Arabidopsis thaliana: one gene and its partner. The protein of the gene in region 1 interacts with the protein of each later gene in a biochemical or structural test. Each region holds a gene or a part of one and is shown on either strand. Other genes may lie near its edges.

What was found.
Region 2: the proteins of ckl4 (region 1) and CRY2 form a complex in vitro, tested with the Arabidopsis thaliana proteins (one study listed by BioGRID).

Annotation. Positions count from the first base shown.
Region 1 is NC_003075.7:14,244,088-14,250,420, forward strand, and holds ckl4 (casein kinase I-like 4), read left to right. Parts: upstream 1-2,172; 5' UTR 2,173-2,271; coding exon 2,272-2,347; intron 2,348-2,425; coding exon 2,426-2,466; intron 2,467-2,644; coding exon 2,645-2,714; intron 2,715-2,799; coding exon 2,800-2,948; intron 2,949-3,068; coding exon 3,069-3,235; intron 3,236-3,357; coding exon 3,358-3,419; intron 3,420-3,496; coding exon 3,497-3,560; intron 3,561-3,698; coding exon 3,699-3,783; intron 3,784-3,861; coding exon 3,862-3,988; intron 3,989-4,083; coding exon 4,084-4,160; intron 4,161-4,333; coding exon 4,334-4,391; intron 4,392-4,575; coding exon 4,576-4,703; coding exon of another isoform or gene 4,704-4,736; exon of another isoform or gene 4,737-4,969; coding exon 4,970-5,110; 3' UTR 5,111-5,785; downstream 5,786-6,333. Other genes in the region: XTH26 (xyloglucan endotransglucosylase/hydrolase 26), read left to right, coding at 249-420, 546-646, 769-962, 1,283-1,694.
Region 2 is NC_003070.9:1,184,737-1,190,611, reverse strand, and holds CRY2 (cryptochrome 2), read left to right. Parts: upstream 1-1,915; 5' UTR 1,916-2,425; intron 2,426-2,538; exon of another isoform or gene 2,539-2,605; 5' UTR 2,606-2,710; coding exon 2,711-3,023; intron 3,024-3,127; coding exon 3,128-3,352; intron 3,353-3,447; coding exon 3,448-4,160; intron 4,161-4,305; coding exon 4,306-4,893; 3' UTR 4,894-5,100; downstream 5,101-5,875. Other genes in the region: c-NAD-MDH1 (Lactate/malate dehydrogenase family protein), read left to right, coding at 1-147, 305-582, 672-807, 900-1,011, 1,100-1,194.

The DNA of each region.
Region 1 (6,333 bases):
CATAGTACCTTTCCAGGATAGCATTTTCTTTATATTAAAGAAGTTAGTTCTTTAATTGTTATGTTGTCTAATTCATGCATACAAAGTTCATTAGATGCACGTCAATTGTCAAAACTCTATACTTTTTGGACTACGTCAAAATTTCGATTTCTTAGAAGTTATATATAAAGAAAGCCTTACTGACAAACAAATGGTGATCGAATAGAGTTCCAATCCAAAACATTCCAAACACAAATCAAATTCGTAAGATGGCGGGTCTTCAAGCGAAGACGTTAATGTTCGTTCTGGCAGCTGCCTTAGCGACTCTTGGTCGCACATTTGTGGAGGCAGACTTCAGTAAGAATTTTATTGTTACATGGGGTAAAGATCACATGTTCATGAATGGTACCAACCTTCGACTTGTCCTAGACAAATCTGCAGGTATATAGTAATCTTATAACACAATAACTTTAAAATCAGTCCATTTAATTTTAGTCTATTATTTCATGAGAAACTTGATAGATAAACATGTATAACTGTTTTTATGTTTTTGTTTGTTTTTGCAGGATCTGCTATTAAATCAAAGGTGGCTCATTTGTTTGGAAGCGTAGAAATGCTCATCAAACTTGTGCCAGGGAATTCTGCTGGAACCGTTGCAGCCTATTACGTAAAATTTTCTTTTGAACTCGATCGATAGAATTACAAAAAAAATAAAAAAAAATAGAATCAATACGCAATTCTTTTATATATAGAAAAATTAGATTAATGTTTTCAGATTTTTCTTTGTAGTTATCGTCTACGGGAAGTACACACGATGAGATAGACTTCGAGTTCCTAGGAAATGCGACTGGTCAGCCGTACACGATCCACACCAACTTATATGCTCAAGGGAAAGGAAACCGCGAACAACAATTCCGGCCATGGTTCAACCCGACCAATGGTTTCCACAACTATACCATCCATTGGAACCCATCCGAAGTTGTGTAAGTAATTAACTTATGGCTATGGCGGTTTCTTAAGTACTTTATAAAAACTCCAAACAAATGCTAAGAAATGGTACTTTCTATCAATGAAATACCACATCAAAAAAACTTAAGTAAGATTAAATGTTACTTAGATAGTTTAGTTTGTTACTGTAAAACAACATTAAAGTACAAACACTTCATGATGAATTTTTCTTTTAGTTCCTTAATGTTTTCGAACCTTCAAACCAAAAAAACTTTAGGAATCTCAAACGATTATATGTTTTTATTTCCTTTCTATAAATAAACGTGTCGCACACCATGTTGTATATCTTATATAGGTGGTTCGTCGATGGAACTCCGATCAGAGTTTTTAGAAACTACGAAAGTGAAGGAATCGCATACCCGAACAAGCAAGGTATGAAAGTGTTTGCGAGTCTATGGAACGCAGAAGACTGGGCAACACAAGGAGGTCGAGTGAAGACTAACTGGACGCTAGCACCATTTGTGGCCGAGGGTCGTAGGTACAAGGCAAGAGCTTGTTTGTGGAAGGGATCAGTCAGCATCAAGCAATGTGTAGATCCAACTATACGGTCTAATTGGTGGACATCACCATCATTTAGTCAGCTCACTGCTTCGCAGCTGACGAAGATGCAAAAGATAAGAGATGGTTTCATGATCTATGATTATTGCAAGGACACTAACAGATTTAAAGGTGTTATGCCTCCGGAATGCTCGAAGAAGCAATTCTAATTCAAGTTTCCGGCCAGCGGGCGGAACGAGGAGAGGCTCCGGCAATCATAGCACCGCGGTCGAGGTTAATGGGGACGGACTGTAAATTCGTTTTTCATTATTTTTTTTAATAATTTATTTTTCTGAATTGTTTTTGTGAGGATTTTTGTGTGTCTTTGATTCATTGATAACTCGAATGAGCAATCATGATGAAGAAGAAGAAGTTTTTTTTTTTCCATTTTTTCTTTGTTAAAATCCTATACAAAAAAAAACAAATTCAAAAGCTAAAACCCTAGTAAAAAGAGACAAAATCCAATACAAAATTATCCCCAAAATTATCCATATTTAGACACATTGCGTTGACTTTAGAACTAGTGGATTAGAAACTCCACCGGTCCTACGTGGCAACTAAATTTCAGTCCACGTCACCGACACACAAATTTTCTTAGCCTTACTATACCATACAATTTACGTTAATGCCCCTATTGTCTCATCTATTCGCAAATTTCAACTCTCAAATTCAACGAAGTAAAAAAGCCCTAAATTGATATCTCTATCCCTTGCGCATGATCCAGATTCGGTTGTGATCGGAGCTGCCATGGAACGTATCATCGGCGGCAAGTACAAGCTCGGACGGAAGATTGGCGGTGGTTCCTTTGGAGAGATTTTCCTAGGTGTGTTCTCGTTGATTCTCGAGTTTTGTTCTTCTTCTTTGGTTTGAAATTGACGTACCTTGTTTGTTGATTTCGCAGCTACGCACATCGATACCTTCGAGATTGTAGCTGTTAAGATCGTAAGTTTCAATTGAATCAGCTATTAAACGAATCTACTCTGGGAATTTTGTATCATGTTCATTGTTTCGTGTGGTTCTTTGAATTGATTAACTCTAAATTTATCAGTCAAGCTCCTTGAAATGGTACTTTTTAGCTGACAATTTGTCTTTAACTCAGATCATTTGGATTGTTTTGCAGGAGAACAGTAAAACAAAACATCCTCAGCTTCTCTATGAAGCTAAGCTATATAGAACTCTTGAAGGAGGAAGTATGTTTCTCATTCCTATCTTTTCCCATTCTGTCGTTGTTGGTCATTGGAGGGATTGATTATCAGTACAATGCTCATTTTGCAGGTGGAATTCCGCGCATAAGATGGTTTGGAGTTGATGGAACAGAGAATGCTTTAGTGATGGATTTGCTCGGTCCAAGTCTCGAAGATCTTTTCGTCTACTGTGGGAGAAAATTTTCACCAAAGACGGTCTTGATGTTGGCTGATCAAATGGTATGGCATGAGTTTTAATCACATTTATTGCGTCTGGTTCTGTTTAAATACTAATCATTTCTCTTGAGTTATACATTTATCATCTAATGTGCTTATGATTTTCTTATTCCGATTTTACAGCTAACTAGAATAGAATATGTACATTCCAAAGGATATCTGCATAGAGATATAAAACCAGATAACTTTCTCATGGGCCTAGGCCGCAAAGCGAATCAGGTTTATCTAATTGACTTTGGACTGGCCAAAAGATATCGTGATGCCAACACCAACCGCCACATCCCTTATAGGTATTTGTGGCCATGGTTCATTATATTGTGTCTACCATCTGGAGGTGGTAAATTATCTTATCTGTTATAAGTTTTTAAGGTCACATTATACAACTTATTACCTTTTATTTGGTTGTATTCAGGGAAAACAAGAATTTAACAGGAACTGCACGATATGCAAGTTGCAATACACATCTTGGTATTGGTAAGGAATGCTGCCACTTTTTTCTCCCCTTTGTGAAGTAAAGTTTTTGCTCACATATTTCGATTTCTCTTTCGCAGAGCAAGGTAGACGGGATGACCTAGAGTCTCTTGGATATGTGCTTCTGTACTTCTTAAGAGGAAGGTGTGTTGACTTTTTGACTTGAAAGAACCTAGTTAACATTGTGTTTTTGGCAGGGTATTGTTTTTCCTTGTTTGAGATTTACTTAACCGTTTTCTTGCTTTACATTTTGTTCCTATTTTAATGAACCTCCTTTTCTAGCCTTCCATGGCAGGGTCTTAAGGCTGTTGACAAGAAGCAAAAGTATGACAAAATTTGTGAGAAGAAGATATCAACTCCTATTGAGGTCTATTTCCCTCTACTGTGTGAGTGAATTGTTTTTTGTTAATCCTCATTCAACTGAATAATATCCCATCCTTTGTAGGTTCTATGCAAAAGCCACCCCGTGGAGTTTGCTTCATATTTTCATTATTGCCACACACTGACATTTGATCAACGCCCTGATTATGGATTCTTGAAGCGGCTTTTTCGTGATTTATTCTCACGGGAAGGTACTTTGAGAAAGACATCCCTCCATCATTTTTATAATCCTCTCTGCTAGCATCAGTTATCTACCTAGCTCACTTAAACGTTTTCTTCTTTGCAGGATATGAGTTTGACTATATATATGACTGGACTATTATAAAGTATCAGCAATCACAGAAAACTAGAAGTCAGTCTCAGGTATAGTTTATCAATACCATTTGTTATTTTTTTTTCTCCAGGTGTATGCATATTTTGTCTTGTTCATAGAGAAGATTTCCTGGGGAGAAGTTTTACTTGGTTTTGCTATTTTTTAGTTTTGGTGCTAAATATAGATATGCCTGTCTTCCTAACAATAAACTGTCATGCTGCAGGCCGTTCCTGGGTCTAGTAATGCTCGTGCAATACCAATGGACACAAGCAATCATCGAGGTCAGCTCGAGTTATAAATTTTAATTGTGTCACTTTCTGATTAATTTTGTAATAGTATATGATGTGTTTTTTGTTTTCTCTCGACTTTCACACTGGACTCAACTGGCATAGAGTGTTTGGCTGATTTAGTTTCCCGTTGCAACTGTTTATTTCAATATCTTGATGCTAACTCTCCGTTTGGCAGGAGGAACTAAGATTTCACATGAAGCCCAAGTCTCTGACCGTGTCAGACCGGCTAATGCCAGTGGTCCAAGCCCACAGATTAATACCGCTGTAGGGAGGAGTCTGGGTTTTGATCAAGTCCACAAGAATGTACGTGCTTATTCATTTGCCTCTTCCAAATAAATGTTGTATCCTGCAACCCTCCCCCTTGTGTTAGCATCTCATGCCTGCATCTGTGTTGCTTCAGAGTTCTGCATGGTTCTCTGCTTAAAGCTTTTACCTGTTTTGCATGGTCAATTGTCATCAACGAGCTCTATATTGTGATATGAACTACATATAGCATAAATGATTAAAACACGATACTGATCATCACGAAATATGCTCTTGACCATTATTTTACTGAAAACCCATTGCAGATGAACATGCCATCATCCACTTCATTATCTCCTGCGGGTACCTCAAAAAGAAATGTCAGACCCGAAACCTCAAATTCTGGGTTTGGGAGCGGGAATAAAACCGGCGGTTGGACTTCACCATTCATGTCACCGGGGAAATGATGCAAAAAAAGTTGGAGTATATCATTCATCTGATCTGCTGAGCAAGATTATGTGTGCCTTTGGGTCTAAACTGTGATTTCTGCAGTGAAAAGCTCTAGACTGAGGTTGAAGATCTGAATGGAGTTTTTCCATGAACAGCTTACTGTTTGACAAAAGGCATGAAGATTATGTTTGCTTTCCTTCAAGATTCTCACAAATGACTGACTTCAACCTTTGTATAAAATCTTGCAACCGGGCGTGTAATTTGGTTCTTGTGATTCATTCTCCCAAGTTTTCTTCTATAAAACTTTGTTCGTATTTCTGTACGTAGTTCCCTGTGTTGGGGCATAACCTGGGTTTGCTGTGTCATCAACATTGTTTGCAGAAAATCAAGAGCAAAGCATGAGCAGCTTCAGCAGAGATGCCTTCAAAGGCTTGAGTCAAGAGTTGCTTGTGGCAGGGACATGTCACCATCAAGCTAATGTGCAGCTGACGAGAACGTAAAAGGATAAGCTATGGCTAGCTTCTGGAATGCTCCGAGAAACACTTCCCCCTTTTTTTTTCTCTGAATTTCCTATTCAGTTTAATGGTATTCTGTGTTTGATTTTTCTTACTCGATTTTGTGCATTGAAAAAAATTATATCAAAAAGCTTGACTTGATCCAAACATGCATTTTCAATTGCTATTATTAAAAAAAAAAAACGTATAAAATTGTAGTCTCAATATTGAAATACAAACACCTAGAATTGATCGATTTGGTAGAGAACTAGTTAGTGGATTAAATTTGGGTTGGCTGATTTTCGAGCCATAAACTATTTCGATTCTCAGCTTTCACACCCGGACTTTTGGGCCTTTAAATTTCCACCATCAACTTTCATATTCCCAAAATTACATCATCTATTTTTGGATTCATGCTTAAACATACATTTCCAATTGAACCATTCATTTAACCGGGATTAACCACAAATCCGCGTTTACTGTACCGCGATTGCGATTAACCCAACTAATACCCAGACCCGTTAAGAAAACGACGTCGTTTTCATTTCGTTTAACTCATCAAAAAGAGAAAGAAAACGACGTCGTTTTCATTCTTCTTCTTTAACTCTCAAATCGATTTAGTCGTTCTTCTTTAATCTCGACACTGTGAAATTAGGGTTCTTGAGAGAGAAAGACAAAAGGGGATTTGGGGTTTTCTTCTTCGGTTCGAATTTTTGGGTCTCGATTTGGGTTTCGAATAGGGAGAA
Region 2 (5,875 bases), on another chromosome or scaffold:
GGATGTACTGGAGTCAATGTTGCTGTTATGGTTGGTGGTTTCCCGAGGAAAGAAGGTATGGAGAGGAAGGATGTGATGTCCAAGAATGTTTCCATCTACAAGTCTCAGGCTGCTGCCTTGGAGAAGCATGCCGCTCCTAACTGCAAGGTGATACGATCTGTTTGCTTTTTAAGTTAAATGAAGCCACTGCATCCAATCTTCTCTGTTCATTGGAGTGTAACAGATGCTTTGTGTTCTCTATTGGGTTCTAGTTTACGACTCTCTTGCTCACACATTCGCTCTCGTTTTGTCTTTTTTTTTTCAGGTTCTTGTTGTGGCCAACCCGGCAAACACCAACGCATTGATCCTCAAGGAATTTGCACCATCAATCCCTGAAAAGAACATCTCTTGTTTGACAAGGCTTGACCACAACAGGGCTTTGGGACAGATCTCTGAGAGGTTGAGCGTGCCAGTGTCTGATGTTAAGAACGTGATCATCTGGGGAAACCACTCATCCTCACAGTACCCAGATGTCAACCATGCTAAAGTGCAGACCTCGTCTGGAGAGAAGCCTGTCCGTGAGCTCGTCAAGGACGATGCATGGTATGTATAACATGCCATAGAACTTAAGACCCTTTCTCTTCTCTGGAAGCAAAATCTAGTTTCACTTAAATATATTGCTCATTCTGTAGGTTGGACGGAGAATTTATCTCTACAGTTCAACAACGTGGAGCTGCAATCATCAAGGCGAGGAAGTTGTCTAGTGCGCTCTCTGCTGCTAGCTCTGCTTGTGACCACATCCGTGACTGGGTCCTTGGAACTCCAGAGGTTCATAATAAAACTCTTCCCCGTTATTTGCAGTGCTGTTTTTTTGTAACAGTTAATCTAATATGAGTTCTTTCTTTGATTCAAATTGTCAGGGTACGTTCGTTTCCATGGGAGTATACTCCGATGGCTCTTACAGCGTTCCATCAGGACTTATCTACTCCTTCCCTGTAACTTGTCGCAATGGAGACTGGAGTATTGTCCAAGGTAAATATGACGCACTTACAAACTCAAATGCTCATCAATTATGAAATCCTAGATTCTGCAGACCCTAATGTGTATTTTGTTTGGTTAGGCCTTCCGATTGATGAAGTATCAAGGAAGAAGATGGATTTGACTGCAGAGGAGCTCAAGGAAGAGAAGGACTTGGCGTACTCATGCCTCTCTTAAACCCTTCTGGAGCAAAATTTTCATCTATAAGGTGTGAGATCAGTTAAAGCCTTTCAGGGCTTTGTCCGAATAAGAAGTGTGTTTGAAAGATCTCCAAACACTGTTTTATAACCTCTTTGGTCTCTTTGATGAGTATTGTCCCTGGTCTGTTTCTAAACCAGGATATCGTTTTTTTCAATGTGTCTGATTTGGTTTACCCATGAAAAGAAGAAAATTGGCAGTTGCATGGTTATCTTTTGCGATTATTTTTTTCTGCTTTAGCAATTAGCCCAAAATTGATGAGCTCTTCGATAATGGGTTTGTGCAATTGTGATTTGTGAGGAATGGTGTTATTGTGTTGCAATTGCAAAAAGAAATGCTACTCTTGCAGATTCATACCAAAACCAAATCACTAGATTAAACTGAAATTCTAATGTGGATTATTTTAATTTTACTTCTATTTTTCTTCACCCAAATATTTTATAACCAAACACCAAGTTGACACCAAAATATACATCCAAAAAACTTAGATTGCTTCTATTTTACGACTATCCGAAATCGAATCATAAACCGTAGGCAATGGTCCATTAATAAGGGGTATACGAGGATTCAAAGTTTGAGAGAACTTTTTTATCTTTACCTTTTTCCTTTTGTAAAGTAAAAGCAGTGGATTTTGATTATAGATTCTACTTGGTAATGACTAATGAGAATCAAGTTCTCACCTTTAAGCCATATAGACTTTAGATATTTAATGGATTCTACAAAAGTGGGCATGACCAGAATCGAGTTCATGAACCACCGTCCTCGGCCCCAACGTTAAAAAACTTTTTTCTCTAGCATAAGAAGATAAGAGTATCTTCACTGCGCTTTAGGCCCACTCAACATTCAAACAAAATTCGATCTCTTATAAAAAAATATCTCACAAGAGAAAGTTCGTACATGATCCCGATAAAATCGTAGATGAGCAAATCAAAGATGAGATGTCGGTAAAAAAAACGCTATTATAAGAACACACGCCACTAGTTGTGGATAAAGTTGTCTACTTTTGTCTCGTTGTGATTATTATATTGCACAATTATTAACATTCATACTCTCATATGGGTATTGTTTTTGGTCTCCGTTAGATCTCAAATCTTTAACTTTGCATACCCAAAATAGGAAGAAAGAAGAGTCAAGTCACTAAAATAACTTTCACAGTCTTTGATTCGAAGATCTTTGTCGCCGAGAGATATCCACTCTGATTTGAGTTCTGGTAAAAAGTTTCCAGCTTTTGATTTTTGTTTCTCTCAATTGAATTTCTCTTGCTTGCTCTGTTTAAAAGGATTAGGATTAAATCGAATCTCTCTCTGTTATGTTTTTTTGTAGATTATTTTGGATTTTAGGACTCAAAGATTACAGATTTCTTATCAATCATTCTCTGTTATTGTTATAGAACTATTCTCTGGAGGAGGTTGAGGTCTGAAATCATGGAACAACTTGGTTAGAGTGTGGAATTTTAGCTGATTTGATCTTTGATTCATCTGTGATCATAATAACTATGAAGATGGACAAAAAGACTATAGTTTGGTTTAGAAGAGACCTAAGGATTGAGGATAATCCTGCATTAGCAGCAGCTGCTCACGAAGGATCTGTTTTTCCTGTCTTCATTTGGTGTCCTGAAGAAGAAGGACAGTTTTATCCTGGAAGAGCTTCAAGATGGTGGATGAAACAATCACTTGCTCACTTATCTCAATCCTTGAAGGCTCTTGGATCTGACCTCACTTTAATCAAAACCCACAACACGATTTCAGCGATCTTGGATTGTATCCGCGTTACCGGTGCTACAAAAGTCGTCTTTAACCACCTCTATGGTATATACTCTTTCATCTCTTATTCAAAGGATATATATTCTTATTAAGTTAGTGTAGTCTAAGTGCAACTGAGGTTGATGCGATCACGTTTTTCTTTGTTGTAGATCCTGTTTCGTTAGTTCGGGACCATACCGTAAAGGAGAAGCTGGTGGAACGTGGGATCTCTGTGCAAAGCTACAATGGAGATCTATTGTATGAACCGTGGGAGATATACTGCGAAAAGGGCAAACCTTTTACGAGTTTCAATTCTTACTGGAAGAAATGCTTAGATATGTCGATTGAATCCGTTATGCTTCCTCCTCCTTGGCGGTTGATGCCAATAACTGCAGGTAAAACCTTAAAGAGTATTACTTAAAAGCTAAAACGTTTTTGATTTCTTCAGGACATAAGCGGTAGTAAAAGTTTATGGCTTTTTCTTTGTTAGCGGCTGAAGCGATTTGGGCGTGTTCGATTGAAGAACTAGGGCTGGAGAATGAGGCCGAGAAACCGAGCAATGCGTTGTTAACTAGAGCTTGGTCTCCAGGATGGAGCAATGCTGATAAGTTACTAAATGAGTTCATCGAGAAGCAGTTGATAGATTATGCAAAGAACAGCAAGAAAGTTGTTGGGAATTCTACTTCACTACTTTCTCCGTATCTCCATTTCGGGGAAATAAGCGTCAGACACGTTTTCCAGTGTGCCCGGATGAAACAAATTATATGGGCAAGAGATAAGAACAGTGAAGGAGAAGAAAGTGCAGATCTTTTTCTTAGGGGAATCGGTTTAAGAGAGTATTCTCGGTATATATGTTTCAACTTCCCGTTTACTCACGAGCAATCGTTGTTGAGTCATCTTCGGTTTTTCCCTTGGGATGCTGATGTTGATAAGTTCAAGGCCTGGAGACAAGGCAGGACCGGTTATCCGTTGGTGGATGCCGGAATGAGAGAGCTTTGGGCTACCGGATGGATGCATAACAGAATAAGAGTGATTGTTTCAAGCTTTGCTGTGAAGTTTCTTCTCCTTCCATGGAAATGGGGAATGAAGTATTTCTGGGATACACTTTTGGATGCTGATTTGGAATGTGACATCCTTGGCTGGCAGTATATCTCTGGGAGTATCCCCGATGGCCACGAGCTTGATCGCTTGGACAATCCCGCGGTAAACTACAAAACTTGTCTTATAGTTTAGAATTCAAAGCTTAATACCAGTTTTTGCTATGCATTCGTTTTTTATTTTATTTTTCAGCTTATTTGGTTTGGTTGATTTAGTTCTGAAGTCTATGAAAACTCTGTTTTTATTTCAGTTACAAGGCGCCAAATATGACCCAGAAGGTGAGTACATAAGGCAATGGCTTCCCGAGCTTGCGAGATTGCCAACTGAATGGATCCATCATCCATGGGACGCTCCTTTAACCGTACTCAAAGCTTCTGGTGTGGAACTCGGAACAAACTATGCGAAACCCATTGTAGACATCGACACAGCTCGTGAGCTACTAGCTAAAGCTATTTCAAGAACCCGTGAAGCACAGATCATGATCGGAGCAGCACCTGATGAGATTGTAGCAGATAGCTTCGAGGCCTTAGGGGCTAATACCATTAAAGAACCTGGTCTTTGCCCATCTGTGTCTTCTAATGACCAACAAGTACCTTCGGCTGTTCGTTACAACGGGTCAAAGAGAGTGAAACCTGAGGAAGAAGAAGAGAGAGACATGAAGAAATCTAGGGGATTCGATGAAAGGGAGTTGTTTTCGACTGCTGAATCTTCTTCTTCTTCGAGTGTGTTTTTCGTTTCGCAGTCTTGCTCGTTGGCATCAGAAGGGAAGAATCTGGAAGGTATTCAAGATTCATCTGATCAGATTACTACAAGTTTGGGAAAAAATGGTTGCAAATGATCAAAATAATGTGCTGTTATAAAGCCTAACATGTAGATGTGTGAATGTGTCTTTTAACTCTTTGTTTCCTTTTGGTTATACTCAAAAGGATATGATTGCATAAACATATAATGCTGATATTATTTCAATTGGCTATGAATAAAATATACATATTTGTTTAGTCTTTGAATTTGTTTCATCTGAGTTGTTTAGTTTGAGGAAAAAGATAACGGCCAATTTATATTTCTTTATAAAGAAAAGAAAGGAAATCTCGATACACGACGTTTTTATATGAAACAAATGCAGTTGGAAATAAAAGTAACAAATCATTGGTCTAAAAACCCCAATGAAAAATAGTAACTAAATGACTGAATACTACGGTAAGATTTTTTTAATTTCTATAAAAATATAAGATTTTTTTTGATGATTAAAATATTTTTTTATAATCAATTACAAATAATTATCATATCTTGAAAACAACAAGAATTTTTTTGATATAATAAAAATATTAAATTAAATTACAAAAATAAACGATACTAGAATTATATTTCATTGAAATTTCTTATATATATATATAGCTGATATTTTAATACAATTATTAATTTATGATATTGATGGGACTATATGTTTACATAGGATTTTCAAAAAAAAAATATTTTATTAATTTATCGATTTGTATCGCTTTTTACACTAGTCCCAAATACTGAAAGAATTTATTATTTTATAAAAATGATTAATTTATCGAATATTAATTTATAAAGGTTTTACTGTACTTGCATGGCACAACAACGAGAAAAAGTCCACGCGATAAAGCTTCAATGTCAGGAATCATCAGGCGTCGAAATGTTTGACAATGGCATCGGTTTCGTCCAGAGAGGAGTCGACGGGGCCTGGATGAGGGTCGACGTAATCGGAATTGTCGTGGAAAAGAGAGTAGAAGCAAGATCCGATTCGGATAACGTCTTCTTTACTATCAGTTTTGGTTCGTAACCATTATTTTTAA